Anolis sagrei: one gene and its partners. The main gene of each other region encodes a partner of the protein of the gene in region 3 in a complex. Links are inferred from orthologs where the notes say so. Each region holds a gene or a part of one and is shown on either strand. Other genes may lie near its edges.

Region 1 (5,225 bases), on a different chromosome or scaffold from region 3:
CCCCTGGGCAACGTTCTTGCAGACGGCCAATTCTCTCACACCAGAAGCGAATTGCAGTTCTAACGTTTTAATTGAATATGATATATGACGTTTTTAATTATTGTTTTGTGATTTTATTGTTGGAAACCGGCCCGAGTCCCTCGACAGAGGGGAGAAGTCTGGTATACAAAATTGCTAAATAAATAAATAAATAAGTTGCTCCTGACACAACAAAAATATATTATTATAAAATCAAACTCTAAAATCAAAAGAATAAATAAGCAACACACTCAAAAACGGGGGAATTCCAGACAAGAAACAATCAAGGCCAGCTAATCACCCCCCAGCAAAGGACTCCCTCCCCAGGCAGGAAGCAGCCAGACCTTGAAGCTGCAAGGCCATTCAATGCTAATCAAGCTAGCCAATTGCAACATTGACACTTGCCTCAAGCAGACCAGAGTTCTTTCTCCCACCCTGGATATTATTATTATTATTATTATAAATTCAAACTCTAAAATCAAAACAATAAATAAGGAACAACCCTCAAAAACGGGGGAATTCCAGACAAGAAACAATCAGGGCCAACTAATCACCTCTCAGCAAAGGATTTCCCCCCAGGGAGGAAGCTGCCAGACCTTGCAGCTGCAAGGCCATTCAATGCTAATCAAGCTGGCCAATTGCAACATTGATACTTCCCTCTATCAGACTAGAGTTCTTTCTCCCACCCTGGATATTATTATTATTATAAAATCAAACTCTAAAATAAATAAATAAATAAATAAATAAGGAACAACCCTCAAAAACGGGGGAATTCCAGACAATAAACAATCAGGGCCAACTAATCACCTCCCAGCAAAGGATTCCCCCCAAGGCAGGAAGCAGCCAGACCTTGAAGCTGCAAGGCCATTCAATGCTAATCAAGCTGGCCAATTGCAACATTGACCCTTCCCTCAAGCAGACCAGAGTTTTTTCTCCCACCCTGGATATTATTATTATTATTATAAAAACAAACTCTAAAATCAAAACAATAAATAAGGAATAACCCTCAAAAACGAGGGAATTCCAGACAAGAAACAACCAGGGCCAGCTAACCACCTCCCAGCAAAAGATTTTCCCCCAGGCAGGAAGCTACCAGACCTTGCAGCTGCAAGGCCATTCAATGCTAATCAAGCTGGCCAATTGCAACATTGATACTTCCCTCCATCAGACTAGAGTTCTTTCTCCCACCCTGGATATTATTATTATTATTATTATTATTATTATTATTATTATAAAATCAGACTCTAAAATCAAAACAATAAATAAGGAACAACCCTCAAAAACGGGGGAATTCCAGACAAGAAACAATCAGGGCCAGCTAATCCCCTCCCAGCAAAGGATTTCCCCCCAGACAGGAATCAGCCAGACCTTGAAGCTACATATTATTATTACTATTATAAAATCAAACTCTAAAATCAAAAGAATAAATAAGGAACCCTCAAAAACGTGGGAATTGCAGACAAGAAACAATCAGGGCCAGCTAATCACCTCCCAGCAAAGGATTCCCTCCCAGGCAGGAAGCAGCCAGACCTTGCAGCTGCAAGGCCATTCAATGCTAATCAAGCTGGCCAATTGCCTCAAGCAGGCCAGAGTTCTTTCTCCCACCCTGGACATTATTCCACGGATATATGAACCTCACTGGCCTAGTTTCCCAACAGATTTCACAACCTCAGAGATGGAACATGGCCAGCCAGCCCAACTAAACCCAATCTTTAGTTCTTTGTAGGAACCTAGAACATTGGCTCTCGCTTTCCAAGGGACTGCTTTCGACAGCACACTCATTCGGAGGAAGCAGTCTGGTGAAGCTGACTTCCTTTCCCAGCTGACCTTGGAGCTGGCGCTGGCAGTGAAGGCGTGCAACCGTGGAATCATGCCGATGCTGCCTCTGGGTTTCCTGCGCCTCTCCGCTTGCGTTCCGCTCTGGAGGAAAGGCTCTCGGGCTCTCTTCTCCACGGCGGCCGGGAACGGAGGCGAAGGCCCCGAGGGAGAGAAGCAGAAGCCGCCCTTCGAGGCCAGCCTCCTCCAGGTCCTCGTCTGCCCCTTGTCCAAGAAGCCGCTCAGGTGAGAAGCCAATGGGCTCCCATTAGAGGCTGTATCGGTGTAGTTTCAATGGTTCAATGCTATGGAATCCTGCTTGTTTGTAGTTTGGTTGGGCGCCTGCCCTCTTTAGCACAGAAGGCTGCAGACCTTGTGGAACTACTCCTCCCAGAATCCCATTGACAGTTAGAGGTATCAAACTGCATTAAAGTCTACAGTGCAGGTGGATCTTGCAAGTTTTTTTTTGTATCTTTTTAAAATGGCATTTCATTGGGTTGCTGTGAAGCTTCTGGGCTGTATGGCCATGTTCCAGAAGCATTCTCTCCTGACATTTCGCCTACATCTATAGCGGTGAGCTTTGTTGGAAACTAGGCAAGTGGGGTTTATATATCTGTGGAATAATGTCCAAGGGCGGAAAAAGAACTCTTCTCTGCTTGAGGAAAGTGTGAATGTTGCAATTTGGCCACCTTGATTAGCACTGATTGGCCTTGCAGCTTCAAGGTCTGGCTGCTTCCTGCCTGGGAGCGGGGGAATCCTTTGTGGGAAACTAGGTAAGTGGGGTTTATCTGTGGAATAATGTCCAAGGGTGGAAAAAGAACTCTGGTCTGCTTGAGGAAAGTGTGAATGTTGCAATTGGTCACCTTGATTAGCATTGAATGGCCTTGCAGCTTCAAGGTCAGGATGCTTCCTGCCTGGGGGGGATTCTTTGTTGGGAGGTGATTAGTTGACCCTGATGGTTTCTGTCTGGAATTCCCCAATTTTTTTAGTGTTGTTTATTATTGTTCTTTATTTACTGTTTGGATTTTGGAGTTTGATTTTATTTATTTATTTATTTATTTATGACATTTATATGCCGTCCTCACCCTGAAAGGGACTCAGAGCAGCTTACAAGATACACGCACACACACGCACACATACATACAATATATATTATTAGCATAGTACAATATCAGTATTGTATATTACTATATTGTACTTATACCATTAAGTACAATACGGTATGGTATAAGTGTACTTATACCATACCTTTTGTTTACTGGTGTCCTGTTGGGCTTGGCCTCATGTAAGCCGCTCTGAGTCCCTTGGGGAGATGGTGGTGGGGTATAAATAAAGCTTTTATTATTATTATTATTATTATTATTATTATTATTAAATTGTATTATTAGTAATATTACATGTAATATAAAATATATAATTATAATATCATATTAGTAGTATTATGTTATATTTCATTAACCCACTGCGCCACCGGGGGCTCAATGTTATGCAAATACTGGGAGTTGTAGTTTAATGAGACACCTGCATTCTTGGACAGAGAAAGTGAAAGATCTAGTGAAACTACAAACCCTGCCGGCTGTTAGGAATTGTGGCAGTTGAAGTCCAAAGCACCTGGAGGTCTAAAGTTTGCCCGTGCCTGGTCTAACTGTACCTAGTGGGGTGTTATAAGGATGCCTGACACATTATTATTATTATTATTATTATTATTATTATTATTATTATTATTGCCACTAGCATATTACATCTTACTGAAAGACTGGTTTGCATACTTCTTTGTCCCAGTACCATATTCTTAAAGAAATGGCAATAGCTGGCTTGACATATCAATATTTGTTATGTTTCCTAGGTATGAGGAGTCCACCAATGAATTAATCAACGAAGAGCTGGGCATTGCCTACCCCATCACTGACGGCATTCCTAATATGATCCCCCAGGCTGCCAGGATGATTGGCAAAGACAAGCAGGAAGGGGAACCTGAGCGGACCTAGACGTTTTTTCTTCTTATAAGAAATCCACAGGTGAAGAAAAATGTTTCTGTCTCTGCCTACGATGACTGTACTCATCCCGGTGTTGTCTTTAGCTGGACTGTTTTATTCGGCCAGCGTTGATGAAAACTTCCCTCAGGGTTGCACAAGTACAACCAGCCTGTGTTTCTACAGCCTGCTGCTTCCAGTTACCATCCCAGTTTATGTGTTCTTCCACCTCTGGACCTGGATGGGCCTTAAACTCTTTCGCCACAACTAGGTTAGGCTGAAATGGGTGGACATGGACTAAAATATGTGCTTTCTTTTTATCTGTCTGCAATAGGATCAGAAGTCTTCCCAAACAAGTAGTGGACTAAACATATTGAAATAATCATCCACACAAGCGAATAGAAAACTTGCTTTTACCCTTCCAACTCTAGCAAACCTAGTTCCAAACCAAATCCATAGGAATGATGATGGATCATACAGATAAGGTGGATGAAACACACTGTAATTTCACGAGCTATCTGCTTTGCCCACAAGAAAGTGACTACATTTCCATCTTTGGACCTGTATAGTCAACCCTGTGCAGAAATATACCATGGTAGAATTTTAAAGTGTTGCCAGATGCTTTCAAGCCGTTTTCACAGTTCCTTGGAAGAATGGCATTTAGTGCAGAATAATACTTGATGACACCCTAAATGGATTTTCTGTCATGGCGCTATTGTGTTTCCAGGATGTCTTTTAACATTGTTGGACATGGTGATAATAGTACTCAGGATTTTGCTTTCATTAAATTGCACTGTTTTCTACCCATAGCTTTTATGCTTGAATGAGTGATATTAACAGATTGTGATCAAAACAGAATTATAAGGAAACCGAAAGCAATTATTTCCCACTAATAAAGCAACTGAAAAACCAGGTAGATATGTTATTATTTTTTTGCTCAATGCTTTATTTGGATTTTCACCTTAAAGGGGATAATCCCCTTACCTACAATTTTTGTGCCATACTAATCTGGCTCCAGAGGGGTTTTCCAGGCATTCAGAACTGGATTTATAGGGGTGAGGGTTGCAGCGAGAATGGGTTTTGCCCTTGTAGTTCCACTAAATAATATCCAGCATTAGAGTCAGCCCAGAGGTTGTTTTTAAAAATGGCAATACACATTTGTTCTGCTGATGAGTGCCTCCCTCCAGTTTATGGCAGTTCTTAAGGGATTTTTTGACAGATTTTGATCACAGACCCTCTTTGTATTAAACTTCCTATGAGGCTAAGAAAATGACAAGGTCACCCTGTGAGTTTCCATGGCGGCCCAGGGAATCAAACTCTTTTCTTCAGTGCTAGTCCAATGATCAAAGTACTAGACCATGTTACTAGTAAGGTAAAGGTTTCCCCTGACATTAAGTCTAATTGTGTCTGACTCTAGGG
Region 2 (8,024 bases), on a different chromosome or scaffold from region 3:
ACATATAATTTAATACAAAAGTTAGAATAATCCAGACCATAGTATTTCTAATTTCTGTATATGAAATTAGACCTCAACGGCGGAGCAGGCGGAGGATAACATGGCACATGTTACAACGGCTGCGAAGGCGGAAGAAGGCTGCAACAGACTGAGAAGCCATGGTCATTGTGTTAAACTACATCACCAGTGGAACCTCATCTGTGAAGACTGTGTGTTGTTCAGTTGTGCACTGACCTCCACACATTAAAAAACCCACGCACAGGCGTCTTCCAAAGAAAATAAAAACAAACCAACCAAAGTCCCATGGCGATCAGCGAGTGGCGACGGGGGCAGGACTGTGAAATCTGGAAGCCCCTAGTCACAGACTGGCACATGGGCGGTGGGTACGGACTCAGTCGTTCTACCTCAAGGTCCGAGGCAGTTGAGTAGTTCGGCAGCTGTATCCGCGACTGAGCAGCCCTATTGAGGACCCACTCTGCTCACCCCACACGGGGAGGGGGCTAGAAAAGGTGCCCTAAACATAGTCTGCCTCACTTATCCCTGACTGGACTGCCGCGTCCAGTGGGGTCACCATCCTGCGGCCAAAAAAGAAAAATGAACTTCGGTACGTGGAACGTACGGACACTGATGGACAACAGTGACAGTGAACGCCCCGAACGCAGAACTGCCATCATCGCAAGGGAGCTGGGACGCTTCAACATCGACATAGCAGCCCTTCAGGAGACCCGGAGAGCAGGAGAGGGACAGCTGAAGGAAGAAAAAGGAGGCTATACCTTCTTCTGGAAGGGACTGCCTGAAGAAGACCAAAGAATGCACGGAGTTGGCTTCGCTATAAGAAATGATCTGATGAAACATCTGTCCGAAGCACCCACTGGCATCAACGAACGACTCTCCACCCTCCGAATTGATCTTGCCAAAAACCAACGGGCAACCATCATAAGTGCCTATGCACCAACACTAGACGCTGATGAAGACATCAAGGAGAAATTCTACTATCAGCTGGACACTGTCCTATCGGGGATACCTAAGGAGGACAAAATCATTCTCCTGGGGGACTTCAATGCAAGAGTCGGGCGAGACTTCGACCTGTGGCCAGGCACCATAGGAAAAGACGGGGTTGGAAACAGCAACTCGAATGGCATGACAGGTGCTGACGACTGCTGGACCGACCACAGGCTAATCCGATCCACGATGGCTATCAAGATCGCCCCCAAGCGCAGACTCCAAGGAAGAAAGACAAGGCGCAAAATGAACACCCAAGCCCTTCAAGAGCCCTCCAGGCGAGCCCATCTCCAAACTGCACTCAAGGACCATCTACCCACAGTACACCCCGAAAATGTTGAGGAACATTGGAACAAACTGAAGACCTCCATCATCCAAGCCTGCGAAGAAACTATTGGATACCAAGCCAAGAAACATCAAGACTGGTTTGACGAAAATGACATCGAGATCCAACAGCTAATCGACAAGAAAAGGAAAGCCTTCCAAACATGGCAGAGAGACATCAACTGTGCTGCTAAGAAAAAGATCTACGCCAGTGCAAAAGCTGAGGTCCAAAGAAGGACAAGAGAACTCAAGAACATCTGGTGGACAAAGAAGGCTGAAGAAATCCAACACCTGGCAGATACCCATAATGCTCAAGGATTTTTCAAAGCCACAAAGGTCATCTATGGGCCAAGAAACCATGGCATACAGCCTCTACGCTCATCAGACGGAACCAAACTCCTGAAGGACCAAAAGTCAATTGCACTACGTTGGAAAGAACACTACCAAAGCCTCCTAAACCGCAGCTCCAGTGTGGCCGAAGAGGTCCTCTCACAAATCCCGCAACAACAAACCAGGGATGAGCTTGCAGCACTGCCTAGTTTGGAAGAAGTCAGCAATGCCATCAGCCAACAAAAAAACAACAAAGCCAGCGGACCGGATGGGATCCCTGCTGAAATCTTTAAAGAGGGAGGACCTGCGCTGACACACCAACTCCACCAGCTCATAGAAAAAGTGTGGGTGACCGAGAAAATCCCAGCAGACTTCAAGGATGCCACCATCATCACCCTCTTCAAAAAAGGGGAAAGAACAGACTGCGGAAACTATCGAGGTATCTCCCTTCTAACCTCTGCTGGAAAAATCCTCGCAAGAATCCTTGCAAACCGCCTTCTGCCCCTCTCAGAAGACACCCTCCCAGAATCCCAGAACGGCTTCCGCCCCTCCAGAGGAACTGTGGACATGATCTTCACTGCACGACAGCTCCAAGAAAAATGCAGGGAACAAAACCAACCTCTGTACATGGCATTCATCGACCTTGCAAAGGCATTCGACACAGTGAATCGCAGCGCTCTCTGGACCATCCTCCAAAAAATCGGGTGCCCAAGCAAATTTGTGAACATCCTGCGGCTCCTCCACGATGACATGATGGCAACAGTCTTAGATAGCAATGGCTCCCAAAGTGACCCATTTAAGGTGGAATCGGGTGTCAAACAGGGATGTGTTATTGCCCCAACTTTATTCTCCATCTTCATCGCCATGATACTACACCTTGTTGATGGGAAGCTTCCCACCGGAGTGGAAATCATCTATCGGACAGACGGCAAGCTATTTAACCTCAGCAGACTGAAAGCCAAAACCAAGGTCACAACAACATCTGTTATAGAACTCCAGTATGCTGATGACAATGTCGTCTGTGCGCATACAGAAGAAGATCTACAAGCCACTCTCAACACCTTTGCAGAAGCATACACAAAGCTTGGCCTGTCACTGAACATCGAGAAAACCAAAGTGCTGTTCCAGCAGTCACCAGCCGCCTCCTCTCCAATGCCAGAGATACAGCTTAATGGTGTAACATTAGAAAATGTCGACCATTTCCGCTACCTTGGCAGCCACCTCTCCACCAAAGTCAACATCGACGCCGAAATACAACACCGCCTGAGCTCTGCAAGTGCAGCATTTTCCCGTATGAAGCAGAGAGTGTTTGAGGACCGGGACATCCGTAGGGATACTAAGGTGCTTGTCTATAAAGCTATTGTCCTCCCAACCCTGCTCTATGCCTGTGAGACGTGGACTGTCTACAGACGTCACATGCAGCTCCTGGAACGATTCCATCAGCGCTGCCTCCGGAAAATCCTGCAAATCTCCTGGGAAGACAAGCGGACAAACGTCAGCGTGCTGGAGGAAGCAAAGACCACCAGCATTGAAGCAATGGTCCTCCAACATCAACTCCGCTGGACAGGCCACGTTGTCCGGATGCCTGACCACCGTCTCCCAAAGCAGTTGCTCTACTCCGAACTCAAGAACGGAAAACGGAATGTTGGTGGACAGGAAAAGAGATTTAAAGATGGGCTCAAAGCCAACCTTAAAAACTCTGGCATAGACACTGAGAACTGGGAGGCCCTGGCCCTTGAGCGCTCCAGCTGGAGGTCAGCTGTGACCAGCAGTGCTGCAGAATTCGAGGAGGCACGAGTGGAGGGTGAAAGAGAGAAACGTGCCAGGAGGAAGGCGCGTCAAGCCAACCCCGACCGGGACCGCCTTCCACCTGGAAACCAATGCCCTCACTGCGGAAGAAGATGCAGAGCAAGAATAGGGCTCCACAGCCACATGCGGACCCACAGGGAAACCCATGATGGAAGACCATCTTACTCGTCCAACGAGGGATCGCCTAAGTAAGTAATATGATTGTGAAAGCTAGACAACAAAGAAAGCAGACAGGAAAACAACTAATTTGAACTGAGGTTCTGGAGAAAAGTTGTACAGACGAATATTTGCTTCACTAGGAGCAAGGATAACTAAACAGGCTGTAGTAATTTGGTCATATCATGAGACAACATGGCATTGGTAAAGTGGAAAAGTGGATACAAGTGGATTGATTCAATCTAGAAAACCACAGCCCTAAATTTGTAAAATCTGAGCAGAGCAACTGATGACTGGAGACCTTGGAAATCTCTCTCATAGGATCACCATAACTCTTAAGATAACAGTTAAAGACAATGAAACAAAACTAATTTACAGCATGGTTAAGTCTCTAGTCCTTGTAGAAGCCAAGATACGCAGCAAAACAGAAATGTTCTGTCAATTTGTTCTGCAGGAAACAAGTCCGCTTAGGTGAGAAAAACAAGAGTAAGAGATGTTAGCGGTGCTGCACAAAAAAAAGCAGAGGTCACACCTTTGGACATGAGGCAAGATGAGGGAGTAGAGAGTTAAGAGAGCATGTAGCGGTGCATGAGAAACAAGCAAGAGGCATACCACAAAGGAATAAGGCTAAGCAAGTAGAAGTGATGGAAGGGTGAGTGGTTGTAGTGTCACCGTACAAAAAAGGAGGGGTGCGTTAAAATAAAGAGAGGTGGGATTGGAAAGGAAAGTGACAGATGGAGGGAAAGAAGGGTGAGAGGTATAGTAGCAGGATCTGAAGAGTAGAAGAAAGAAATGGTGGTCTATGTACCGGAGAAGGAGAATGTCAAAAGGTCAGTAAAGGGGAGAAGAGAATATTATTAAAAAATCATTCTGGTATACAATATTTTATCTAAAATAGATAAATCAGTCATAATTTGTTCACTTGATTATTCAATAATAATGTTGTCTATACAGCAGGATTTTCAGACATCAACAGTGGAATGTTAGATATAACATTAAAAAAAACAGTTGATAAGGTTTTGTGCAAATAAATCTGGAAAGGTGAGCAAATGAAAAGAAATAACCATTGATTGTGACTGATCATTCTATTTACAACTTAAAAATTGTATTCACACTTGTCCCCTATAGCTATGTTTAAGCGTATATAAATGGCCCTGTAATCCAAGGTATGTGGCTGAGCAGTTATTTACAGTCCTTGTCTTCTGATTGGCTGGATTTGGGGACTGAGGTAATAGCAACCACATCTTTTTAGAGTACTTCATGATAGACAAAAATAAAACAAAACAACTTGAACCCACAAATAACATTCCAACTCATTTTATTAACCAAATATGGCAAAGCGAAGGTAAGCTATCACCAGGAAAAGACACATTGATACTTGCAAATGTTAATTGGAATGTTGGATTTAAAACACTGAAGAACACTGATTCAATCTATTCTTGATTGAATTAGTTGCAGGAGTATTCTCTTGCCAAATGTGACTGTAAATATCAAGGATATTTCAGAAAATGGTATGATAGTGTTGCTTTCTTGTCTCTTCAGAAAATTGTATAGTAAAGAACCTATCTATATTTAACAAAAACAAAAGTGTTGCAATTTTTACAAATGATATCCATAATAATTTTAAGTATTTATGGTGAAGTTTGATATGGAAAACACTAAGAAATTAAAATTTGACTCTGAGACTTTAATACAGCAAATAAGGTGCTAGCAGAGTCGCAAGGTGTCTCTTTAATAGTTGTACAGAATAGGGAATTTTTAGCACTTGGTTAAATTCTCTCTTCTACAAAGCCAAAGTATGAGAGCCTTTATTTTGATTGGCAACTCTGGTAGAATTAATTTTTTTCCAGTTGAACAGGTATATGTTTTGTTTGTGATTCCCAATGATGTTACTACTTAGGCAAGTGTATGTGTTACTGCTTGTACTTCCAGATGTAAAACTGGTTCTGCCTTGGCTGGAAATGGCTAGGTTTCCCCCATCATGCATATTCTGAAACTAGATGTACACGAATACAGCTTCATTTGCAAAAGAGGAATTGCATACATACTGGTCCATGCACCGATCATGAAATCTGATGTGTTTCCCTTACCTTTTGATTTCCCCCTCCTTTCTCTTAATTTGGTTAAGCTTTTTTCGGTTAGGTAGGTCATATTGTTTCATTCCTCATTCCTGAATTTATTTGGGTTGTGCTCCCATGATAAGAATGATTTACAGGATAAGGTGGGGTTTGAATGATTAAAGAAATGAATGAATGAATGAATGAATGAGGAAATAAAATATAGAAAATATTATACGTGGTCACAAAAGCTTTGTACTTATAGACAGATAACCATGTTCACAATATTAATTTGAAATTCAACTCTAAAAGGGAAAAAAGAGTCTGGTGTATTACAGCCCATTAGATTAAACCAGAGGTCTATGAAGTCCAGCAAGAACATATTGTTGAATTAAACAAGAGATCTATGAACCTACAGCATTCTGTTTCTGTCTGTAGCCAACTAAATACTTCCAACAAACGTAGCAAGGTATCATTGAGGAACATCCTTCAGACTTTGCCATTCCAGCTGGTGAATTTGGGAGCAAGAAGCACAATGCTGGGGATACTGGGATCTTGTAGTACAGATGTACAATGTATGGACATTTTAAGGAAATTAGGAACATTTTTTTTCTCCATTTTAAAGAGAAATGTCCAGACAAATTGGGGGAAAATGATGCTATCAAATATCCTAAAGACACAAGATACTGTATAATCTTTGAAGCTCAGCAGGGCATCCATTTTTCGTATTGTATAGGAGATCGCCAATGAATACCAGGTGACATAGGCTGTGCCTCAGAAAAAGAAACTGGCAAACCACCTCTGTGTATTCCCTGCCTAAAGAAAGCCCAATGAAATTAATTGAGTCATTATCAGTTGATAGCCAGCTTGAAGACACATACATATGCACTATTATTTATGACTAAAATTATTTTGTTACTTTAAGAACATAAACTATATTGTATGCATAATGTGCTACAATTATAGTTTTTAAAATATAAATTACAATACTGTACTTATTCTATTAAAATCAAATAATACAGTTACACACTGATTTATCTTTTTATAACATATTTTGTTATAACATAACACAAATGTAGCAAACTATCAACATTAGTAAAACAAAGAAAACTATTTTGTCTCCATAATGTCAAGAAGACATAAAGTGTTCAGTCCCATAAAAGAACTGAAAAAAGACAGGAAGACCAGAATTTGTAATGATCAGACACATCTTTTCTAGCAGATAACTTCTCTTCTTTGCATTTCCTTCACAATGAATTGATATTTTAATGAAGGTTTAATTTACCACAACTCTGGGATCTCTTTCTTAGCTTGTTACTATTAGTTCAGATTCAATACAGATGCTGCATATGTGAAATAAGGTTTACTTCCAGTGTGAATCACTATGCAAATATCACCTAATGTATTACTTCATTGCACAATTAGTTTGTTCAAACTATTTTTAATATTAAATGTTTTTAATTAATTTTAATAATTTCAAAAATAAAAGAAATTCTTTTCCTAAAGCCTAGCTAGAAAAAAGGAGGGACTTCACATAACAGTAAAATATTAGCTTGCCCATCCATATGTTATTTTATGCATAGTCAAGTGCTAACCACCCAAGTGTCTGTATTTCTTTGTTAGGCAATATTGATCTCTCTCTTTATTACACTGGAGTTTGTAAGTCCTTATTTAGCAAATTATTTCTAGAATTTTGTTGCAATGATAATGACAGGGCTGAGAAAGGTGGTATACAAATCCAGCAAATAAATAAAGTGTATTAACTAGGACCAAACTTTTTCCATCACAGGAACTGAAACAGAAGCTTGAGCTGAAATTTGAGTTGGATTCAGAGCAGAAGTGCAATCTGCAAGGCTTCATGCTCCATATATAGCTTCTGTTCATAGGTATTGTTCCATTCTGTACCTCAACAGGATCTGTGATCTACCTGCAAACAATCTTGGGTGTCTTATCCAATTTTGTTTTCAGGATTTAAGATAACAACAACACATTAAACTTTATTTACACCCCACCCCATTCCCCTGTGGGGACTCAGGACAGCTTACAACATAAAAAGGCAAATATTTAACGCCACCCAATACAATGAATTAAGCAATACAAATGAATAACATAAAACAATTCTATACTATACTCGCTCATTCAAATGCTGGCTCTTTTAACAGATAGCCACAGAGGTCTGTTTTCATAATTAGAAAAGTTATAGAACTTTTGACTAAACACAATCTCTTTGTAATATTGTAAAGTTAAGGAAAAGCATGTCATTAAATCAAACTTTTCATGACTTGTTTTCATTGACAAGTGGTCTTTTATCAAATTTATCCAATATCATGCTTATCAGACACATTT
Region 3 (7,819 bases):
AATTGAGGAGACATCAGTAAATCTCTTTTAACATTACCATGAAGAAACAAGAAAAGAAGTGGAAACCTAGTCACATTTACTCATTACATGTCATTGCCTCTGGTTTTTTCCTGTCAAAAGTAGGACAAGCCACGCCACAAAGCTTTCTAAAGGAGGATTTTTCATTGTGCCCTTCTCACACAATTACGAAATGTTCTCCCCAGGGCCACCTATCTGGCCCCAAAATGACCATCCTTTTCAACACTGGATTAAACTATTTTTCAATTTGCACTGATGGGATGCGACTGGACAATTTTTAGCCAATTAACTATGCCTAAAATTTGTTCCTGAGGGAAGGGATACTGACCAGATACAGAGGAAAGGCTTTTCTAGCTTGCTTTATAGCAGAAAAGTTTTTAAAAACCCTCTGAACATCTAGTTATAGGAAACACATGCAAAGCAATCATTTAGTTACTGGAAAAATTGCGGTGCCTTGTTTCTCAAAGCAGAACCCAAGACAAATCCAAATGGCATGTCTGCCTGGAAAGAACCAAGTTCCAACATTCCCTCAGCTACAAAGCACACCAACATAAATGTTCATGTCTACAGCCCACATAATCAGTGCATACAAGCATATGTCCTTACAAAAATAACCAGTCTTTAATGTGCACAAATCTTTGTTGTTTTTGAAACACAGTCTCATGGAAAAGTAGTAAAAGCAGGTTTCTGCATTTTTTTGTTCAAGTGGGCACCTCCATATACAGGCAGTCCACAAGTTACAGACAACACAGGTTCTGTAGGTTTGTTCTTACGTTGAATTTGTATGTAAGTTTGAACAAGGACATTTTTAAAGTATAATTCCAGATAAATATATAGATAGCATAGGGAAGGGTTAACACTCCTATGGTGTTTCCTTTGCTGTCTGTGCCACTGCTCAGAAGATTTCACCTCATTTTCCATCCCTGGGAAAACTGGATTGTGAAGAATTTGGCTGGTTGTGGAAAAAAGGACCGGAGAAAATTAGAGACCAGACCCCCTTTCCCCCTGATAACAACTCTTCCAGGAGAGGATTTCCTTTCCTTTTGAAGGGGAAGATTTTTTTCATTTCCTGTGGTTTTGCCCCATTCTTATGCAGGAGCCATTTGTAATCGGGTGTTTGTAACTTGGGAACAGCCTATATCTATATATCTGAGATAAATATTTGGAAGGGACCCCCAGAGGCCATCCAGTCCAGCCCTGTTCTTAACTAGGAGCCGTTTGTAAATCGGGTACTTGTAGCTCGGGAACTGCCTGGAATTGAATCCATAAAAGTTAAAAAGCAGTAACGTGGAGGGCAAGAATCCTTGGCTCAATGCTCATCCTTAGGGACCATTGCTAATCACGGATGTGTCACAATGACCTAGCCTCTGTGGGAGAGACCTTTAGAATGAATAAATGGAGCGTGTGCGTGCGTCACAGCCAGGACATGTTTCTCCGCGATCCTGATCCCTTGCAGAATGCGATGCGTGAGTCATGTGGCTGCGGAATGGAAAGAGCCAGCCGCATACTCTGACATCTAAATTGCACTGCATTCCCCTCTCCGTGGATGAGGAGGAAGACAGGGCAGTCTGACCTGAATGATGGTCAGACTGGATGGCCTTTGGAGAGCTGAAGTTGGCCCAGGCCTGTTTTATACTCTATTTGTAAAGCTGTCAGGTAGTTTCTTAGGACCCTTCTACACTGTCATATAAAACCTAGATGATCTGCTTTGAACTGGATTATATGGCAGTGTAGAAGGGGGCTGAAGGCCCTTCCACACATCTGAATAAAATCCCCCATTTTCTGCTTTGAACTGGAATATATGGTAGTGTGGACTCAGATAACCTAGTACAAAGCAGACATTGTGGGATTTGCTGCCTTAATATTGAGTTATATGGTTGTGTGGAAGGGCACTCAGATAACCCAGTATAAAGCAGAGAATGTGGATGATCTGCCTTGATATTCTGGGTTATATAGTAGTGTGGAAGGGCCCTGAGTCTGCACTGCCAGATAATCTGGGATAAACAGAAAACCTGGGATCGGATCCTGGGATATAGGGCCTAACTGGAAGGGCCCTGAGGCCCCTTCCACACAGCTGTATAAAATCCCACATTATCTGCTTTGAACTGGGATATTTGGCAGTGTGGACCCGGACAATCCAGTCCAAAGCAGTTATTGTGGATGATCTGCCTGGATATTCTGGGTTCTATGGCAGTGTGGAAGTGTCTTGGGTTGAAAATGCCGGGACCTCAACTGACATACAGCCCTTCTACACTGCTATATGATCCAGATTAGCAGAGCAAATAATCCACGTGATCAGTTTTGAACTGGATTATTATCTGTAGTCACTTCCACACAGCTGCATAAAGTCCACACTGAAATGGACTCAGGGCCCTTCCACACCACCATATAAACTAGAATATCAAGATAGATAATTCCATAATATCTGCTTTGAACTATGTTCTCTGAGTCCACACTGCCATATAACCCAGTTCAAAGCAGATATTGGGCCCTTCCACACAGCTCTATATTCCAGAATATCAAGGCAGAAAATCCCACATTAGTTGAGTGTGGACTCAAATAGCGCAGTTCAAAGCAGATATTGTGGGGTTTTCTGTCTTGATATTCTGGGATATAGGGCTGTGTGGAGGGGCCCACTGTGGGATTTTATACCGCTGTGTGGAAGGGGCCTCAGATAACCCAGTTCAAAGCAGATATTGTGGTTTTCTGCCTTGATATTCCGGGTTACACAGCAGTGTGGAAGGGCCCTGAGTCTACCGGCTGTTAGGAATTGTGGGAGTTGTAGTCCCCAACACCTGGAGGGAGGACCCAAGTTGGCCCATGCCTGGTCTAAGGTACCTTAAAGCAGATCATGTGGATGATCTGCCTGGATATTCCGGGTCATACGGCAGTGTGGAAGGGGCCGGTTCAAAGCATGACTTACTTTCACCAGGAGGCAGCAAAGGCCGCGCGCCGCTTGACATTGGAGCCACTTCCGGCGGCGAGGGGGGCGGTTGCTAGGAGACGCGGTCCGGCTCGGATTATCATCCGGGCGGCTCCCTCGCTCCCAAAGGAAAGGTTCCGGCCAATGGAGTTCCTCCTCAACCTGGCCCACAGAAAGGCGCCCAGTGGTTGGAGGGAAGGAGGGAAGTCAGGTAGGAGAGCCCTGCTATTAGGAAAGCAGCGCCTTGGGTTGCATCCACCATAATGCCAAGTTTTTAACGATGTTTGAGGAGTTTTGGGGTTTTTTCCCCTATACATTATAGCTGTATTCTCAATTTGTTTCTGACATGATAAATAAATAGATAAATATCCCGAAGGAGACTCAAAGCGGCTTGACATAAAAGCATTAGCATTCAATTTATTATTATTATTATTATTATTATTATATTTATTTATACCCCGCTTTATCTCTCCCAAAGGAGACTCAAAATGGCTTGACATAAAAGCATTAGCATTCAATTTAATAATATTATGTAATATTATTATTATTATATTTATTTATACCCCACTTTATCTCTCCCAAAAGAGACTCAAAATGGCTTGACATAAAAGCATTAGCATTCAATTTAGTAATATTATGTATTATTATTATTATGTATTATTATTATTATTATATTTATACCCCGCTTTATCTCTCCCAAAGGAGACTCAAAGCTGCTTGACATAAAAGCATCAGCATAGACATTAAAATATTATTATTATTGTATGATATTTATTTATACTCTGCTTTATCTCTTCCCAAAGGAGACTTAAAATTAAATCATTAGCATATGATTTTAATTACACAAATATATGCAAACATTAAAGCAGGATTTAACTGTGAAAGAATTCACAGTTAAAAAGCATTAAAATATGTGCAATGTTAAAAACCACAATCTCTCTCTGTCATTTAATAGCAAAATTCAAGCAATTTCAACTAGAACTAAATAGATAGATAGTAGAGTATCAAGAGATTCTTTCTTCTTTTCTTGCATACTAACCTGACGAAGCCTAAATATTCCAGAACAGCAAATGTAAGAGAGCAATCCTTCAAATAGCAGAGAAATGGTCTGCTGTTTTTGACAGTTACAAGAGTATTCTTCCAGCAAAACTAGGGAGGGATATATGCAAAATTCAGATCTTTTTACAGCAGACATAGGTGGGACACACATTTCCCTTCCAATATAATGCCTGCTTTTGTGTGATAAGCCTCTGGCGGTACGAAGCAATCTTCACCTTTGCTTTCGCACAGTTTTGCTGGACATTGATAGTGCTGTAGATGGCAACCATGCCTTCCTTCCTTCTAATCTTATTTGTAACCATATAGCTCCGTACAATGCAGTTAAACAAAGTTATGAAACTGCATTCTATAGTAAGTAAGTAAGTAAAACTTTATTTCTTTCCCGCCCTATCTCCCCATGGGGACTCAGGGCAGTTCACAACATAAAAGACAAACGTTCAATGCCGTAAAATACAACAATAGGCGAAAACAATTTAAAATAAACGAAACGTCGCATTCGACAATAAAATAGATCACATGAAAACAATAATAGTAAATTACAGGATGTTAATAAGACAAAGTTAAAAGCCATGTCTAAATTCCATTCCCTATTTCATAGTGCCAGATCTTTTAACATTCGCATCACCATATGCCTGAGTGGCACTGTTCTGATCTCCTTCAGGAGGGAGTTCCAGAGGCGAGGGGCATGCCAAAGAAATGAACCATATTACATATATAAACTTCTACATTCTAACCCCCCCCCCCCCGAAGACTTATGATTTAGAATTACAGCTTGTGCATCCCTTCTTTGGAAATCCAAAATTGTTCAGATAGACAGCTGAGATGGTGGCAACCTTGCTTTCTAATGGACCAACCTTTTGTTTACTGCACAAAGTTAGTAAAAAATATTGTGTATAAAATCATCTCAGGCTATGTGTATAACGTGAATATGAAACATATATGAAGCCCATCTCCAAGGTATCTTGTTATGCGTGCATTTAATAATGATAATAATAATTATTATTTTATTTTTTACCCGCCCCTTCTCAAGGCTCGAGGTGGGTTACAGAATAATTAAAACACATAAACATTGCAAAAACACTACAGATGCACATATTAAAACGTATTCCTATAAAAGCTACATATCAAAAAGTATTTCTATAAAATAGATATCAAAATTCACAAAATAGAGATTAACAAAGCACACACATTTAAAAATCATGCTTAAAGACTGACTGTTGTATGCAGATACAAGTATTCCAAAATCTGGAGAGAGAAAAATAATCCAAGATCCAAAAAATGTTTGGTCCCAAGCTTTTTGGATAAGGGATACGCAGTTAAGACAAACATGCCTGATGAGATGGAGAAACACACAAATCATCGTTTTCTACAACAAAGAGCAAAACATAACACAAACTGTTGTAAAATAAGGAAACGTTCAGGAGCCGGCCTTCTTTGCTCCATATATTTGGACTCAAGCAGGCTAAATGGTTTATCCAGTGCTGTTTCTGGCCTGAGGACTCTCCCTTTTTTTTGGTGTCATTTTGAATGTTTCTTTCCATGCCGTTACTGTATCCTGTTGCGTCTTTTCTGTTTACTTAAAAGGAATCATGGCACAAAAAAATTAACGTGCTGTTGTAAGATCAGTTTCATCTCCAGAGCAGTTTGATGCATAATTGGAGAAGTGCACATACCAGCTGCATCTACACTATACAATTAATGCAGTTTAACACCACTTTAATGACCATAGACTTCATTCCACTGAACATGTCAAGTGTTTGGAAGAGTAGGTTTACCATACGGCTCAGGCATACTCTGTTTTGAAATTAAATGGATGATTTCCCTACCTCCATCACACACTAGCAAACTCTCCATTTTAATCAGGAGTTCTCAGTGGATTTGCCATCACATTGCAGGGTATTGTTCCTGTCCACTGTCCCGCTCCCATTTTCTTTGTGAAAAGAAATACCTCCTCTCCTGGGCTATATTTTTGGTTCATGGGTTATCAATGTCATTTCCTAATTGGTTATATCATGAACACATGGGAAAAGTTTATTAAATTGCAAAATTTTTGTCTTTGCAGGAGGGACAGCATCCTGCTTTGGCACATTTTGCTCTAGTTTCTCAATGATCCTTCTCTCTCTCTTTCTCTCTCTCAGTTTCTTTCAGTTTCTTTCACTCTCTCTCTCACTCACTCTCACACACACACTTTCCTCATATTGGAAGAAGGAAAAAAGCAGGGCAAGAAGGAGAGGAAGAGGAGGTAACACATGGCACACACAATACATAGAAGAAAAGAAGGAAGGAAGGAAGGAAGGAAGGAAGGAAGGGGAGGAGGAGGTAACACATGGCACACACAACACATGGAAGGAAGGAAGGCAAGCAAGCAAGCAGGCAAGCCACCAGAAAGTGCAAGAGACAGAAAGGAACACAGCAAACTGCCAATCTTTCCTCCTCCGTGAGCAAAAGGTAATCGTAGAGTTTTTTCTCAAAAGAGCATTTCGGCTCATCCCACAAATTGCTCAACTGTATCATTTTAAATCACATGACAGAATTGGCCATTTTGCCCACCTCTAGCTGGATAATTTGCAAAAAAGTCATTTGCCAAACAGCTTAGAAAGCGTCTGAAAAGATAACCCTTTGCAACCCCTTTTAAACACTAAGATCTCTCTACCCTACACTTGCTAGAGCCTACATCATGTGATGAGCCCAGTAGGTTGCCTTTTCTTAAGTGGGTGGCTCTGTAGCATTTAATGAATTTGATGAAGTGGCAGGTCTCAATGCTATAAGATTCTGGGGTCTGTAGTTTGGTGAGGCACCAACATTCTTTGGCAGAGAAGGCTAAAGATCTTGTGAGACCTTATAAACCACAACTCCTGTGATTCCATAATTAAAGTGTCAAACTGCATTGATTATGCAGTGTAGATGTACCTATTCAGCTCGTGAGGCAGAGTCATAAATGTAATGTGGGAGCATGGAAAAATCCTACTTTGCCCTCCTTCTAGGAGTTACATTCGGACTGTCACTGGGTGTAACGTCAGCACTGTAATAGGGCCGTACGCGGTATTTGAAGACTTTGATGGAATTATCCCCACTGTCAGCAACAAAAAGCAAACCCTGTGTGGAACAAGCAATTCCTGCTGGTCTCTGTAGACCTTTTGATACCAGGCAGATTGGGGATCCGCTACTGGGAAACAAGTACACTTTCTGGTGTTGTTCATCCGCCACAAGAATGTTGCCTTCACTATCGGAACAGATCCCAGCGGGGTTGCCAAAGTGGTGGTGATACTTGCTGCTGATGGAAGAGAGCGGTTTGTTAGTGTTACTGAACACCTTGACGTCCCCGCACTCTTCGCTCACCGCAAATCCTCCTTCGGGGGCCGGGCACACGTAACGTGGCCCTTGAAGGTTGGAGATGGAGCGGACACCCTGCATCTTGAAAGCGCGGTCTAAGGCGAAACAGTGCACTTGGCCTTCTGTGTAGTCGGCCACCAGTATCTTTCCGGACCCATCAACTCCAATCCCCCTGGGGGCAGAAAACTTTCCAATGCTTAGCCATTCGCCCTTGGAGAACTTAGAGTGATTGTTGAAGATGCGGATGGTTCCGTTCACCATGTCTGTCACGGCCACCAACCCTGCCCTGGTGAGGGTCACATCCTCAGGCAAAAAGGTGCCCTTCTTTTTCCATTCTATACAGGGCAGGGACCGAAATGTGTGGCCCAGGCGGTTGAGGGTGTGGACCCTGGGGGCATTTTCACTCGTCACATAGAGAACCCCATCAAGGGAGCAGTGAATTCCACATACGGCTCCGTAATGGTTGCCATTGGGGTTTGGCATCCG
Region 4 (7,340 bases), on a different chromosome or scaffold from region 3:
TTAAAAGGAAGTCTAGAGGTCGCATTTAGTTCGGCTGCTCAGTTTTTGATTATTGTTATTTTTCCTTCGAATGGTTTGTGAGGTTCCTCTGGTGTTTCTGTTTTTCTAATGCAGACGCGGGCCAATTCTGGCCCTCCCGGTGTTTGGGACTACAACTCCCATAATTCCTAGCAGCCGGTTACAGCCTCAGGCCTCTTCTTTTTCCCCCTCAGCCGCTTAAGCGGCTGAGGGGGAAAAAGAAGAGGCCTGAGGCTGTGACCGGCTGCTGGGAATTATGGGAGTTGTAGTCCAAAACACCAGGAGGCCGGAATAGGCCCGTTCCTGTTTTAACGGAATGCTGTGCCGTCTTTGACTCGACCGATGATCCGTGTTTGTACTCTGTTCTCCGGTTCCTTCCTTATTGTAGAGAAGCCACACATATAAAGAGGAAATTCACTATATAATGTCAAATGTCATTACCGTTTTTTGCGGGGGAGAAAAACAAATAAAGGTGGTTTTTCTTTTTCTTTTTGGTACATCACACCTGGCCTGGTTTGTTTCCTTACCGTTTCGTTTCATGTGTACGCAATGGGACCAATGCCTGCCTATTTTCTCCCTTTTCCATCTCTCTTACTTTCCTTCTTCCCTCTGTTTCTCTCTTTGTCTTCCTTTCCTTCCTTCCTTCCTTCCTTTCTTCCTTCCTTCTCTTGCTTTCCCTCATGCACCTTTCCTCCTTTTCTTTCCTTCATTTTCTTTCCTCCCCCTCTTTTTTTAGCCCTTCTTTCCTTCCATCCCCATATGCTTTCCTTTCGTTCTTTTTTCTTCCTCGCTTTTTCCTTTTTCTATCTTTCTTTTTCCTTCTTTCCCCATTTCACTCTTTTTTCTTCCTCCTCATGTTTTCCTTTTTCCACCTTTCTTTCCTTCCTTCATTTCACACTTCCTTTTTTTTCTTTCTTCCTTCCTCTCTTTCTTTCCTTGCCTTTCATTCCTTCATTACTTTCCCTCCCTCCCATCCTTACTCCGTTTCTCCCTTTGTCTTCCTTTCCTTCCTTCCTTCCTTCCCTTGCTTTCCCTCATGCACCTTTCCTCCTATTCTTCCCTTCTTTTTCTTTCCTCCCTCTCTTTTTTTAGCCCTTCTTTCCTTCCGTCTTCATATGCTTTCCTTTCCTTCTTTTTTCTTCCTCCTCACTTTTTCCTTTTTCCATCTTTCTCTCTCCTTCTTTACCCCATTTCACTCTTTCTTTTTCTTTCTTCCTCCCTCTCCTCCTTTCCTTGCCTTCCCTCCCTTTCTTCTTTCCTTTCCCTCCCTTCTTTCCTTCCTTCCGCCTCTTGCTTCCGTCATGCACCTTTCCTTCTTTTCTTTCCTTGTTCTTTCTCTCCTCCCTCTCTTCCTTTATCCCTTCTTTCCTCTCTTTTTCTTTCTTTCCATCTTCATATGCTTTCCTTTCCTTCTTTTTTCTTCCTCCTCACTTTTTCCATTTTTCTCTTTCCTTCTTTCCTCCATTTCACTCTTTCTTTTTTTCTTTCTTCCTCCCTCTCTTGCTTTTCTTGCCTTCCCTTCCTTCCTTCTTTCCTTTCCCTCCCTAACATCTGCAATTCAGAGAGGACACATACAAAGTAGAAGAATAAGACATTTCACGCTTCCTTCAGGCCACTTCACCCAGTGACAGCCAACCCAGCAATATCGCAGAGGGCCACCTCACATGTGACAGCCAACCCACAAACATCACTGAGGGCAACCTCACCCAGCATCGCTACTGAGGGCCAGTTCACCCAGCGACAGCTAACTAGCTGTCGTCATGGGAGGCCACTTCATCCAGCGACAGCCAATCCAGTGACACTGTGGAGGGCCACCCAACCCAGTGACATCGTGAAGGGCCACTTCACCCAGTGACAGCCAACCCAGTAACGTCATGGGGGACCACTTCATCCAGTGACAGCCAATCCAGTGACACGGTGGAGGGCCACTTCACCCAGTGACACTGTGGAGGGCCACCCAACCCAGTGACATCGTGAAGGGCCACTTCACCCAGTGACAGCTGTTGTGGAACAGACAGAGAAACTCTTGGACTTTACTAGGGAAAGTTAGGGATGAAAAACAAGGTTAAAATAAAATAAATAAACAAGATGGGAAGTTCTCTAGGAATTGCAAACGAGGAGTTGTTAACGGGCCTGCCATCAAATAACCTTCTGCCTTTTTTTTCTTGCATTTTCTGGGTGCTAAATGCAAAAGGAAAAAAGAACCATGTGCTCCCAAGTTATTTCACCCATGACATTTCAATTCAATTCAAGAGAGATATTGACAAGCTGGAATGTGTCCAGAGGAGGGCGACTCAAATGATCAAGGGTCTGGAGAACAAGCCCTATGAGGAGCAGCTTAAGGAGCTGGGCATGTTTAGCCTGAAGAAGAGAAGGCTGAGAGGAGATATGATGAAGGCCATGTATAAATAGGTGAGAGGAAGCCACAGGGAGGAGGGAGCAAATCAAGGGTCTGGAGAACAAGTCCTATGAGGAGCGGCTTAAGGAGCTGGGCATGTTTAGCCTGAAGAAGAGAAGGCTGAGGGGATATGATGAGGGCCATGTATAAATAGGTGAGAGGAAGCCACAGGGAGGAGGGAGCAAATCAAGGGTCTGGAGAACAAGCCCTATGAGGAGCGGCTTAAGGAGCTGGGCATGTTTAGCCTGAAGAAGAGAAGGCTGAGAGGAGATATGATGAGGGCCATGTATAAATAGGTGAGAGGAAGCCACAGGGAGGAGGGAGCAAATCAAGGGTCTGGAGAACAAGTCCTATGAGGAGCGGCTTAAGGAGCTGGGCATGTTTAGCCTGAAGAAGAGAAGGCTGAGGGGATATGATGAGGGCCATGTATAAATAGGTGAGAGGAAGCCACAGGGAGGAGGGAGCAAATCAAGGGTCTGGAGAACAAGCCCTATGAGGAGCGGCTTAAGGAGCTGGGCATGTTTAGCCTGAAGAAGAGAAGGATGAGAGGAGATATGATGAGGGCCATGTATAAATAGGTGAGAGGAAGCCACAGGGAGGAGGGAGCAAATCAAGGGTCTGGAGAACAAGCCCTATGAGGAGCGGCTTAAGGAGCTGGGCATGTTTAGCCTGAAGAAGAGAAGGATGAGAGGAGATATGATGAGGGCCATGTATAAATAGGTGAGAGGAAGCCACAGGGAGGAGGGAGCAAATCAAGGGTCTGGAGAACAAGCCCTATGAGGAGCGGCTTAAGGAGCTGGGCATGTTTAGCCTGAAGAAGAGAAGGATGAGAGGAGATATGATGAGGGCCATGTATAAATAGGTGAGAGGAAGCCACAGGGAGGAGGGAGCAAATCAAGGGTCTGGAGAACAAGCCCTATGAGGAGCGGCTTAAGGAGCTGGGCATGTTTAGCCTGAAGAAGAGAAGGATGAGAGGAGATATGATGAGGGCCATGTATAATAAATATGTGAGAGGAAGCCACAGGGAGGAGGAGGGAGCAAGCTTCCTTTCTGCTTCCTTGGAGACTAGGACGCAATGGAACAATGGCTTCAAACTACAAGAGAGGAGATTCCATCTGAACATGAGGAAGAACTTCCTGACTGTGAGAGCCGTTCAGCAGTGGAACTCTCTGCCCCGGAGGGAGTGTGGTGGAGGCTCCTTCTTTGGAAGCTTTGAAACAGAGGCTGGATGGCCATCTGTCAGGGGTGATTTGAATGCAATTCCTGCTTCTTGGCAGAATGGGGTTGGACTGGAGGATGGCCCAGGAGGTCTCTTCCAACTCAAGGATTCGATGAGGCTGGATGGCCATCTGTCAGGGGTGCTTTGAATGCGATATTCCTGCTTCTTGGCAGAATGGGGGTGGACTGGATGATTGCCCAGGAGGGCTCTTCCAACTCTAGGATTCTATGACATGAGTCAGTCCAACCTTGCATGGCTTCCAGCCACAGTCTGCAACATGAAAGGTACATAATGGAGCAAACCGAGTCTCCTTCCAGGATTTGGAAGGACAGTTCCCTCTCAAGCCCATCCATACACGGTTTCCAAATGAGCCTCAGCTTTGCAGGCCTGCGAATGACTCTTCTCTTTCATGAGTCTAGGGTCACAAGGCGCGCATCTCCTCTTTTAAGGAGTCTATGACCCGAGCCTGGACTCTGTGCGCGTGCGCGGAAGCCTCCGAAGGAGACGGAAGTCTGCTGTGCGCATGCGCGGGAGGCCTGCCACGGAGAGGCTAGAAACCCATTCTTAGCCGCTGCTGTGCGCATGCGCGGCGGTTAAAGCACCCACCTCTATGGCTCTGCGACCGCTCTTTCTCCTTCCGCCTCTATGGCACCGGAAGGAAGTCTTCCCAAGCAGGAAATAGAACTTCACAATGGTGAGTCTGGGAATAAAAGCCAATGGGAGAGGTTGCTTTGGTTAGGATTATACATTTAGATTTCCAAAAGATAACCAATATGTATATATTATTATATGTGTGTATAGAATAAAATAATATATATATATGCATATAATTTTAGTGCATATATAATCTATATTCTTTAAATACGTATATATTATTTTATATAATATATATATATGTACATAATTTTAGTCTATACATATTATTGATATATATGTCTGTATAGAATAAAAGATATACATATAAGGGATATCTATATATAGATAGATAGATAGATATACATTACAATTATATGCATATATATTATTATATGTGTGTATAGAATAAAATATATATGCATATAATTTTAGTGTATATATAATCTAAATTCTTTATATACGTATATATTATTTTATTCTACAGACATATATCAATGATATATATATGTATATAATTTTAGTCTGTATATATTATTGATATATATATATATGTATGTATGGAATAAAATATATATGTATATAAAGAATATATATATACATTAAAATTATACACATATATATTATATGTGTATAGAATAAAATAATATATATATGCATGTCATTTTAGGGTATATATAATCTATATTCTTTATATACGTATATGTTATTTTATTCTACAGACACATATATCAATAATATATATATATATATATGTATGTATATAATTTTAGTCTATATATATTATTGATATATATGTATGTATAGAATAAAATATATACGTAGATATAGATATAGATATACATTAAATGATATGCATATATATTATATGTGTGTATAGAATAAAATAATATATATGCATGTAATGTCAGGGTATATATAATCTATATTCTTTATATACATATATGTTATTTTATTCTACAGACACATATATCAATAATATATATATATGTATATAATTTTAGTCGAGATATATTATTGATATATATATATGTATGTATAGAATAATATATATATAAAGAATATAGATTATATATACACTAAAATGATATGCATATATATTATATATGTGTTTGTAGAATATAATGTATATGTATGTATAGAATATAGATTATATAGATATAGACTAAAATGATATGCATATATATTATGATGTATGTATGTGTGTAGAATAAAGTAATAAATATGTATATATAGAATTTTGATTATATATAGAGAGACTAATATTAAATACATAAATGTTATGATATATATGTGTTCATAGAATAAAATAATAGATTATATATAGAGACTAAAATTATACACACACACAATAACATGTTTCAAAACATTAATTCAAAAATATCTTTTTTTTAATTACATTCCCTGTGATTCAAAATGAAGAAATACAGGCACTAAAATAAAATTGAAACAGAAATAGGATGTTTTGGAAGAGAGAACATATTCCATGCATATTAAGAGGCTTCCCCATTCGCTGCCATTTTATATATATATATATATATATATATATATATATATAAGTATGTGTGTAATAAAGACAGTCACTTTATTTCTGTACCCAGCCTCCATCTCCCCGAAGGGACTTGGGGCGTCTTTCATATGATGCAAAGTGCCTAAAACCACGCATAAAATAGACACAGAGGACAAGACACGAGAGCAAAACTATAGCATATATAAAACAACATTTTAAAACTCAGAACACAACGCCCGATGATCTGTGGTGACAACTGCTGTAAGACATGGCCACACTAAACAAGATGATTTGTATTGACAGCTTGACTAAAATGAGCACATTATAAAATGTATTTATTTACTTAAAACATTGATATTCCACCCTTCTCACCCCGAAGCGGACTTAGGGTGGAGCACAACATATACACGGCAAACACAGATTCACATACAAAACATAAATATAAAAAAAAAATGATCAAAATATTAAAATACACCATTTAAAACTGTCCTAGTCATCAGCGTCAAATCTAATTGGCCCGGTCATCTTTCCTATTGCCACTTTATTGCCCTGTCCCGAAAGCTTGGTCCCACAGCCAAGTTTTGACCATCCTTCTAAAGGACAGGAGGGAGGGGGCTGACCTGGTCTCACCAGGAAGGGAGTTCCATAGCCGGGGAGCCATCACCAAGAAGGCCTTGTCTCTCGTCCCCACCAATCGCGCCTGTGACAATGGCGGGATGGAAAGCAGGGCCTCCCCGGAGGATCTTAATCTCCGCAATGGTTCACAGGGCTCCTTCCTTCCTTCTCATCTCCTTTCTTTCCCTTCATTCTTCCCTTCATATACATGTCTCCTTGTAGCAGGCAGGACACTTCACCTAGCAACAGCCGGTCCTTCACTGAGGCACAGCAAATCCGCTTTGGCCCTTTTCTTCCTTTATAGCTGGACCATGAAGGGACAAAGTGCCAAAATTGGTCCAAATCCACCAAACCACGGAGAAGCCTTGGTGGTAGAAACCGGCATACATACATACATTGTATACACACACATGGATAGATAGATATACAGATAGACAGACAGATAGATAGATAGATAGATAGATAGATAGACACACATGGATGGATGGATGGATAGATAGATAGATAGATAGATAGACAGATAGACAGATAGACAGACAGATAGACAAGGGGTCAGCATTGATTCTCCTTTTTCCCTTTCAGGCCACTGCAACTGACCAGTTGGTTGGCTATGGCTTGGTTGCCTTCAGCCTTCTCCTCTTCGCTTATTATACCGTCTGGATCATCGTACTGGTATGGACTGGCTTGCTTTTTTTATTTTGATCCCATATTAAAGGAATAAATAAAGGCAGAATACATTGATCCCTCCCATGTGAATATTCAGAACCCCTCCAATTCTCATAATAATAATAATAATAATAATAATAATAGTAATATTAATATTAATATAATATATAATTATATATATTAATATATTTTATATATATTATGTCATATATATTCAGGACGTCTTCAATTCTCATATTATATATAGGAGCCCCCGGTGGCACAGTGGGTTAAACCCCTGT

Evidence for each region.
Region 1: PIGQ (region 3) and PIGY share a complex: the UniProt entries of both Homo sapiens proteins name them as parts of the glycosylphosphatidylinositol-N-acetylglucosaminyltransferase (GPI-GnT) complex. The link is inferred for Anolis sagrei from reciprocal best matches to the Homo sapiens genes PIGQ and PIGY.
Region 2: PIGQ (region 3) and PIGP share a complex: the UniProt entries of both Homo sapiens proteins name them as parts of the glycosylphosphatidylinositol-N-acetylglucosaminyltransferase (GPI-GnT) complex. The link is inferred for Anolis sagrei from reciprocal best matches to the Homo sapiens genes PIGQ and PIGP.
Region 4: PIGQ (region 3) and DPM2 share a complex: the UniProt entries of both Homo sapiens proteins name them as parts of the glycosylphosphatidylinositol-N-acetylglucosaminyltransferase (GPI-GnT) complex. The link is inferred for Anolis sagrei from reciprocal best matches to the Homo sapiens genes PIGQ and DPM2.

Annotation. Positions count from the first base shown.
Region 1 is NC_090025.1:20,335,933-20,341,157, reverse strand, and holds PIGY (phosphatidylinositol N-acetylglucosaminyltransferase subunit Y), read left to right. Parts: upstream 1-3,861; coding exon 3,862-4,077; 3' UTR 4,078-4,718; downstream 4,719-5,225. Other genes in the region: PYURF (protein preY, mitochondrial), read left to right, coding at 1,889-2,079, 3,680-3,821. UniProt on the Homo sapiens protein: Part of the glycosylphosphatidylinositol-N-acetylglucosaminyltransferase (GPI-GnT) complex that catalyzes the transfer of N-acetylglucosamine from UDP-N-acetylglucosamine to phosphatidylinositol and participates in the first step of GPI biosynthesis.
Region 2 is NC_090023.1:71,911,277-71,919,300, forward strand, and holds the start of PIGP (phosphatidylinositol N-acetylglucosaminyltransferase subunit P), read right to left. Parts: upstream 3,004-8,024; 5' UTR 2,866-3,003; intron 1-2,865. UniProt on the Homo sapiens protein: Part of the glycosylphosphatidylinositol-N-acetylglucosaminyltransferase (GPI-GnT) complex that catalyzes the transfer of N-acetylglucosamine from UDP-N-acetylglucosamine to phosphatidylinositol and participates in the first step of GPI biosynthesis.
Region 3 is NC_090034.1:27,568,316-27,576,134, reverse strand, and holds the start of PIGQ (phosphatidylinositol N-acetylglucosaminyltransferase subunit Q), read right to left. Parts: upstream 3,018-7,819; 5' UTR 2,942-3,017; intron 2,936-2,941; exon of another isoform or gene 2,857-2,935; intron 1-2,856. Other genes in the region: NHLRC4 (NHL-repeat-containing protein 4), read right to left, coding at 6,965-7,414. UniProt on the Homo sapiens protein: Part of the glycosylphosphatidylinositol-N-acetylglucosaminyltransferase (GPI-GnT) complex that catalyzes the transfer of N-acetylglucosamine from UDP-N-acetylglucosamine to phosphatidylinositol and participates in the first step of GPI biosynthesis.
Region 4 is NC_090031.1:2,448,829-2,456,168, reverse strand, and holds the start of DPM2 (dolichol phosphate-mannose biosynthesis regulatory protein), read left to right. Parts: upstream 1-4,333; 5' UTR 4,334-4,351; coding exon 4,352-4,369; intron 4,370-6,975; coding exon 6,976-7,065; intron 7,066-7,340. UniProt on the Homo sapiens protein: Regulates the biosynthesis of dolichol phosphate-mannose. Regulatory subunit of the dolichol-phosphate mannose (DPM) synthase complex; essential for the ER localization and stable expression of DPM1.